Linked DNA regions of Mus musculus. The protein of the gene in region 2 interacts with the protein of the main gene of each other region in a biochemical or structural test. Links are inferred from orthologs where the notes say so. Each region holds a gene or a part of one and is shown on either strand. Other genes may lie near its edges.

Region 1 (4,166 bases), on a different chromosome or scaffold from region 2:
TAGAATTCACTGCATATCCCAGGATAGCCCCAAACTCATGATCCTCTTGCCTCAGTTTATTGAATGCTGGGATTACAACTTATAACACCATGCAAGGGTGAACTGGCTACATACCCAGGCTAACCTCAAACTTGCAGTTCTGCCTAAGTCTCCCAAGTGTGGGATGGCAGGCATCCATCACCTTACTAGGCATATTTTCTTTTAATTTATTATTATAGTGTGAGTATGGACTTGTGTTTGAAACGGAAGGGTGAAGAAGCTGGGGGAGGGGGGATGGCTTTCAGGAATCCCGTCTCTCCTTCCACTATGAGATCCAGGGACAGAACTCAGGTGGTCAGGTTTGTGCAGCCAGGAAATAAAGTGTTATTTCTTTTTTAAAAAATTAAATAGAATTGGGAGGGGCCAGTCAGATGGCTTGGCAGGTAAAGGCACTTACTGCCAATCCTGATCACCTGACTTAGATCTCCAGAACTCACCTGGTGGAGGGAAGTGACTCCTGCAAAGTGCCCTGTCACCTCCACACATGCGCACACAACAAATGCATGTTTCGTTTTTTTTAAGTAATAATAAAAAATAAATGTTCTGAAGTGCTGGGGCTTGAACTCAGGTCTTGTATGCTGGCTAAGCACTTTGCCAAAGCTGCTCCCAGCCCATAAAGGATGTCTAAGGTAGGATGGCGCATCCTCTGAGACTGGTTAGACAGAGGCTGTGCTGGCAAGGGGCCACGTGAATTTATTTGCAACATCTGGCAATCAACAATCCACTCCTGGGCCTCATCTCACTCCTGGAACCCCAGAATCCCACCGTCCATAAAGCGTGTGTGTGTGTGTGTGTGTGTGTGCACAGATGCATGGGTGTTCCCGCAGGCTAGGGGACAGCCTGGATTGCAGTTCCTCAGGTGCTATCAACCTTGCTCACTCACCAAATACGTGGCTGGCTGGCTGACTAGCAAACCCCAGGGATTCACCTGTCTCCTCCCTAGCATTAAAAGTGCAGGTACATGCCACCATGCCAGGCTTTTTACCTTGGTTCTGGAGAGCAAATCTGGACCCTCCTGCTCGCCAGGCAAGCACTGTATGGACTGAGCCATCTCCCTTCAGGGTCCACACCCACCTTCTCCTTGGAACACCAGATTTCAAAAGCTGCAAGGTTAACTTCCCCGCGGCTCTCACCTCCTCTTCACTGAAGAGCTGGCACCAAACTGTCCCTTCTTGATGAAAGCACCAGATCCTCAGAAGCAATAACTTGTCTGAGCTCCCATCTTGATAGGAACAGCAAACAAGAACCCGGCAAATCTGAGGCCTTGCTGACTCAGCCACACCGATTCCGAGGTACCTTTGCCAAAAAGATGATTAAGTCTTCAGTGAAGAATCGGCAAGAGAAAATGAGCGCACAGATGTTGGGTCCCGTGTGCTGTGGCTGGCAACTGGAAATTACCAGGCTTATTTTCCAACAGCTTGGGCAGGGAGCAGAAGCTAGGGACAGTCTTTCTCAGCCCACTCAATTAAACCCTTTCTCAGAAAAGTCTGCGTGAGGACTTCAGAAACCGGTCCCACGGATGGTCCATGAAGGAAATCAACACACCAGAGAGGATAAAAATTTGACCAAAGTCACACAGAAAATAAGCAAAGAGACTTGACACCTTGACCAACTGAAGTCAATCCTGATTCTCGTGGCTACTGGGAACTCTACATCACAGAACTGTTACTTTTGGGTTGTTGGGGGTTTTTTTGTTTTGTTTTGTTTTAAGCAGGGGCCACAGTATATAGCTTAGGGCTGGACTGGAACTCCTGAGTCTCCAGCTTCTGCCTCACAAGTGCTGAAATTACAGTCATAAATCACCACACCTGGCTAGCACTCTTTTGGGGAGTGAGAGGGATGTAATATAGTATCTTGTGATGAAGCACAGGCAAGCTTTAGCTACCCGCAAACCTTTGTCTCCCAAATACTGGGATTATAAATGTGCAACACATTGCTGGGCTCTCTAGAATTTTAAAGGGGCTAAGACGGCACGGAGAAAAGAGAGTTCATTAAAGGTCTTGCCTGTGAACACATTCCCATTCATGCCACTGTGGAGGCAAAGCTAACGCGGGCAACCCTGCAGCTGTGTGAGGGATAGGATGAAAAGCGGAGCTTCAAAACAGAGACACCCCAAAGTGCCCCAGAGACCCAGTCTGACACAGACCGAGAATGGAAAGGCAAACGCCTCCAAAGTCCAACTCTCTCAGACAGTGGTGGATCCCTATCGCCTGGATGTAACGCCCCCACACACACACAAACGCTCCAGGACTGAAACTGACCCCTCAGGGAGCCAGGGTAGCAATAGCCTCACTGCTCTTCCAGGTCCTGTAGGACTCAAACTGCCAGGGATGCGACCCCTGTCTCTGCAAAAAATAGGGCTCTTACCACACCCAGCCCAGTCCCCAACGCTCAGAGCGTCCCAACTGCGACTTCCCGCCTCCAGGACCCTGGTACCGAGGTGCCCAGGGCTCCCAACGCCCCCAGGACTCACCCATCCCGCCGGCACGGCCCTCCCTCCTCGCACGACCGCCCCCTTCCGGTCTCAGCTTGGCTCAATAGCCCCCTCTCCTCAACCCACCCACCCACCCTCGGGACCCCAGGCTGGGCGCCAGCAGGTGGCCCGCCCGTCCCGCTCACCGAGTCTGAGGGAAGCAGAAGGAACAGGTTGAGAGGACCGCCGACCTCCGGGCTCAGCTCCGGCTCGGCCTGGGAAGAACCCTCGAGTATGTCTCCGACTCCGAGCCGGAGGCAGCCGGAGTGAAACTCGGCGTCGCAGCCTCCAAGCACCGCGCTGCGCATGTCCACCTCACGCAGTGCCTTCTGGGAAATGTAGTTCTGATGAAGCTGAGTGGGCTGAACCAAAGCACACCAGCAGATATAAATGTACCCAGCCTTCTCTTTCTCCTACTGACTTACTCCCTCGCTAATCACTGATGCATTTGATTTTTAATAATTTTTATATTTCTTTTTATTATGTGTGTATATTCTGGAGGGGGGTGTACTTACAGAGGTCAAAGAACAACTTTAGGAGTCCGTTCTCCGTGTCCACCTTCACGTGGGTTCCACGGATCGAACTCAAGGTGTCAGGCTTGTCAGCAAATGCCTTTACCCTCTGAGCCCTATCGCCAACCCTGATTTTTCCTTTTGTGGTGTTGAGGATCAAAGTTAATGCAAGCACAGTAGACAAGTGTTCTACTACTAATTAATCCCCAGCTATAAGAGTCCACTTGTAGGGGTGGAAGGGGTCCAGGATCTCATGTACCTCGGAGTGGCTTTGAATTTGTGATGTAAGCCTAGGCTGCTCTTAAACTCTTGAACCTCCTGCCTCTGCTTCCTAATTGCTGAGCTTACAAGCACAGTCTTTAAAAACATAGATTTAAAATTTTTAAATAAGAAAAGAATCTATTAAAAAATGTTAAGCCGGGCGTGGTGGCGCATGCCTTTAATCCCAGCACTCAGGAGGCAGAGGCAGGCAGATTTCTGAGTTCGAGGCCAGCCTGGTCTACAAAGTGAGTTCCAGGACAGCCAGGGCTACACAGAGAAACCCTGTCTCGAAAAACAAACAAACAAACAAAAAACAAAAAACAAAAAAAAAAGTTAAACCTTGGCTTAAGTTGGCCTGGCTCAGTGGTAGAGCACTTATCTATCGAGTAGGCAGAAGACCCTGGATTTGCAAAAGAAGTCCTTAAAATTCCACTTCACAGAGCCTGTTCCATTCCCAGAACCTGCTCCCGGCTCACCAAGCAGAAAAGATGAACACAGCTAGAGAAGTCAAGGAGGCCTGGCCTCAGCAGTGTCACTGAGGAGCAGGGGTGCTTGCTACTGTTTTGCTTGGAAAGGCAGAATTGTGTTGCTTCCTGCCTCTGCTAATTGGTCTCCATCTGACACTGCAGAGGGACAGTCTGATAAGACACAGCTGCTTTGCTCATTATTTCTGATGAATGGATGGCACCTGGCATTTCCTAGTGCCGATGGTAGCCACCAAGGACCCACGTATAATCTATACAGCCAGAAAGATCTTAATGACTTCACAGCCCAAAGAAAACGTGTCTGTCCCCAAAAGCTCTACATAAGTCCCTCCTAGTGGAAGTAGGGGGATTTTTTGTTTATTTGTTTTGGAGACAGGGTGTCTTAGCACCTGGCTT
Region 2 (4,268 bases):
TTTGTTGTTGGGTGCTACCCACGTACTCCAGACTAGCTGACCTATGGTCCTCTAGGGAGTCCCTGTCTCTAACTCCTGTCTCCCCACAGGAATGCCAGGGTTACAGATGGAACACAGCACTGCACCTGGCTTTTATGAAGGTTCTAGGGATTCGAACTTAGATCTCCATGCTTGCATTGTAAGCATTCACTCTTCTCCCCATCCGTTTCTGGGTTTTGATAAGACCAAGGCAGCCCGCTGAATGTGACAGACTCTGGCTCCCTAGCCAGTGCTGGCACTGCAGGCGCTGCAGGCAGAAGGCTTGTTCCCTGTTACCACATCCCTAACTGTCTTTCTGTTGAACTCATACAGGAATTGCCAGGAGGGCAGCACAGGCTGCAGCCAGCCTACTGCCCAGGGGAATATTCAGAGTTCTCTGCTTCTGTCTTCCTGAGGTCACCTAATAGGAAACTGCAAGCGTTCGGAGCATGCATTGAGAGGAGAGTAAGCCAGGAATTTTCATTCAAAGATGGCTTCCTTAGCTTGTTGGCTGCCGGGAGGAAACACAGCCAGTGAGCAGCTGGTGGCTTCTCACCAGGGGCCCCTGGGGCTGCTGTCTCTGCCTAACTCTCTGCAGGACACTGGATGATACATGACTCAGACCTGTCCCCATGAGTCAACCTCACTCAGACCTCACTCAGATTTCTCTGTCACCAGCAAGGGAGTGCTTGGAAGCCCTTAATTTAAAGCTTGAAATTGGTTAATGACTTACTTTTTTTCCTCTTCTCTTTAAATCCTGATGCACCCCCCCCAAACCTACAAACACATGTGCCACCACACACACACACACACACACACACACACCACATATATACCACATACACATAGACACATACCACATCTCATTCACACACACACACACACCACACACACATATATACATACCATACCACACACACACATATACACACCACACCACACACACATACACACATCCCCCACACATGTACCACACACACATAGGCATACACACACACCACACACACACATATACCACATACACATAGACACATACCACATCCCACACATACACACACACACACCACACATATACATACCACTCCATGCACACACATACACACACACACACATACACACATACCACACACACACATACATACCACACACACACACACATATATACCACACACACATACATACACACACCACATATATACATACACACACACACACACACACACACCTTCCTCCAGTTTTCACGTTTCAGCATAGATGAACCATCACAACCTCAATAGCCTTTGTTGTGACAAAGTCGCCAGCAAGCCCTCGAATTCCCCTACTCATTTGGCTGTATGAATAAATAATGATTCACAGATACTGGCTGGGTGTGCACATAATTTGTATCCAGAAAACAAATGATTTCTTCCCCATCCCATCCCACTCCATTTTAGCTCTGCCAGAGCATCATACCACAAGCTACACGTCCTGATACACGGCCACGTCTTTGTGAGCTCTTTATGCCACTGTTTTTCTTTACTTAAGCTCAGTCCTCATCCTGAAAGACCCACCAAGCCCACATGGGCACTATGGCTGAACTCCAGCATTGTAAGTTCCATAAGGCCGCTGTAAAAAATGCAGGAAGGTTCAGGGACCTACGTGGTGCCAACCCATAAGTCTGTAATCTAGTAATTTCTGCTGTGACAGTGCGTGGACTTAGGAAATGGCTTCATAGTTCTTTCTGAGAGAGACTGTGTACCACAACTTGCTGGCTTTCTGTCTTGAGCAATGCCGGCTGCCTCTTTCAATTGAGGCTGAAAGAAAAACCACAGCACAACACAGCATCTTCTGATGGCTTTTCCCAGAACGAGTCTGCCCAAATCCTGCCCTCTGTGGACTTGCCACTTTGGCCCTGAAATCTCCGCACTGATCCAAGGTATACCTGTGAGCTGCCTCTCGGAGACCACTCTGCTGGCACCGGCTCTTCCGGCCAGCTAAGTACTGAGCCTGCTAAACCCAGGGGCAAGCCAAACTCAGAACCAGGGCCAGACAGCTTGCTGCCATCAGAGTAAGTGCAAGCGAATCATTCAGAGCAAGGCACAGCCAGATAAAACCCAAAGAGTGTCCTCCGCGCCAGCCTTCTAATCTCTGGGACTTTAACTGAGAGCGGCTCAGAGCACTTGACACAACTTTCACCCAGCGACCAAATATTTCAACAGCCTAAGCATTTATTAAAACATCCCCGCAGCACGGCGTCTGACAAATAATAATCTCGTGGTCTCAGAGTCAACAGCCTCTGTTTGAATTCCTCCCCCCACAAGCAGGCAGGGACTTCAGGCAGGCACCGGAGGGTCCACGGGCTGCCATCTTAGTCTGCGCAAAGCTGAGCAAAATCAGATATAAAAAAGACCAGCGTACTCACCTCTCATGAAGCACTGTGGATATGAAGGAAATGACTCAAAAATGCTGTCTGAAGCCATCGTTTCCTTTCGAAAACGCACCTCTCCTGAAGGCGGGGGATTCTATAATTTCTTTCACCTTCAGAGCAAAAACCAAGAAATGTCACTTACTCTGACCTCACCTCCCACCATGGCTCCCCACGTCTCTTTCTACCCCCAACCCTAACACTTCTGGTACTCCATGGGTCCTATGGGGTGGGGGTGGGGGAAAGAATTATTGCAGAAACAAATATTCAAATTGTTAAAGATTAAAAAAAGGAAAAAAAAAAGACGAAAGCACCGCCTATGCTGTGGGTTGAACTGCTCACCGCTCTGCGAAAGCCTGTGGTTTGCATTCAGTGTGATTCGTCCTGCCTGCTGACCACTGTGCTGGGCTTACACTTCTGACACTGCCAGGCTACCCAACTTGTGGTTCTGTGGTTGTTTATGAGGTCCAAAGAAGTTTTCACACAACCCAAATTACAAATTTAACTGTTCCCCTTTCCACAGCCCACCGCCATTGGCTCTTGCCAATCACGTGACTTAAGTGATGTCAATTTTTTTTTTTTAAACTTTCTGAGCTATGCCCTTCCTGCCCTCCACCTGCCCTCCCCCAGGCTGTGTAAGGAAACAGTTGAGCAGAGCTTAGCAGAGAGGGGCTGTAAGAGAAAAAAAAGCACAACAAACAAGCAAACAGAAATCCCCTGCCTCAGTCTTTTCTTGCTCTCTCTGTCCTGTGCGGATTTGGTGGCTTTCAGATCCTGTTGTTATTTGTGGTTTGAGGAACAACTGATTATTTAGATAAAGATTGCCTTGCTGTTTATTCAACAGCAATTCAACGTTGGCACCAACTTGCTGCTGAGCCCGGATGCGGCTCTCATCACTTAAATGCTGGGCACCAGCTCGGGAGAGCTGGGTTCTTGGTGAAAGCAAGTGAGACAGAAAAGTTAGAAAAGAAGACCAAGAGCCCTTTTCCGTGAGTGGCTGATCCTGGGAGGGCTAGGCTGGCAACCTACTGACATCTCAAAGCTTGGGAACAGTATGACACGTTTTAATTGTGGGATGAAAAGACCACTTTGATCAAAACCCAAATGATGTTGTCCTTGGCTTTCCCCTTGGCGGATAGGCTTAGCATGGACATCTCTTGGTAAGTAGAGGAAACAGTGGCGTTCTCTTCACACTGGCACCAGTTCCCACGCTCGCTTGCATTAGGAAGTTTTGTGGAGAGCAAAGGAGGAGAATTTCCTCACTCAGCAGAGCTGTGGCCTGTGGGCAGCTATCTGTTCATTGTTTGTACCAATAAAGCCTACTGGTAGCCTTTCCGAGCTCCACTCAAAGAAATGGGCCAAGTCACCCTGCTAGGGATAATTACTCTTTGAATCCATGAAGAGTAACTTGTGACTACCCAAGATCCTGCCTCCTCCTGGCCAGCCCCCGGAGGGGGATATTACACAGCCCTTCAGCCTCCAGAAGTCACATGGTCAGGGGACAGACAATAAAGACAAGATGATTCTGTGGGTGTGAGCTCTTCTGTTCACCTCCACCTATTGACCTCTTCGTTCTATCTGTTTTACTTGCTGAGAAGTGAAGCCTTAGTCTTCCTGGGATCCCCAGGCAGGGCCTGGCCTTCCTTTCCTTACTTGGGTCTTCCTTTTCCTCTGTTCAGTTTCCCTCCATTTCGAGGTGATGCCCGATGAGAGGCTGGGCCTTGAGCAGCGTAGCTCCAAGTGCCAGCCCTGGGTCCCAAATTCCAGGCATGCAAGGTACTTCTCTAAGTCTGAGCCCCAGAGGGAACTCTCATTTGGTTTTCATGGAGATAATTTTGCACACACA

What was found.
Region 1: the proteins of Runx1 (region 2) and Dtx2 form a complex in vitro, tested with the Homo sapiens proteins (2 studies listed by BioGRID, with this or other methods). The link is inferred for Mus musculus from reciprocal best matches to the Homo sapiens genes RUNX1 and DTX2.

Annotation. Positions count from the first base shown.
Region 1 is NC_000071.6:135,993,459-135,997,624, reverse strand, and holds the start of Dtx2 (probable E3 ubiquitin-protein ligase DTX2), read right to left. Parts: upstream 2,826-4,166; 5' UTR 2,659-2,825; intron 2,539-2,658; exon of another isoform or gene 2,301-2,538; intron 1,336-2,300; 5' UTR 1,173-1,335; exon of another isoform or gene 1,025-1,172; intron 1-1,024. UniProt on the Homo sapiens protein: Regulator of Notch signaling, a signaling pathway involved in cell-cell communications that regulates a broad spectrum of cell-fate determinations.
Region 2 is NC_000082.6:92,823,170-92,827,437, forward strand, and holds the start of Runx1 (runt-related transcription factor 1), read right to left. Parts: upstream 2,906-4,268; 5' UTR 2,765-2,905; intron 2,536-2,764; 5' UTR 2,478-2,535; coding exon 2,420-2,477; intron 1-2,419.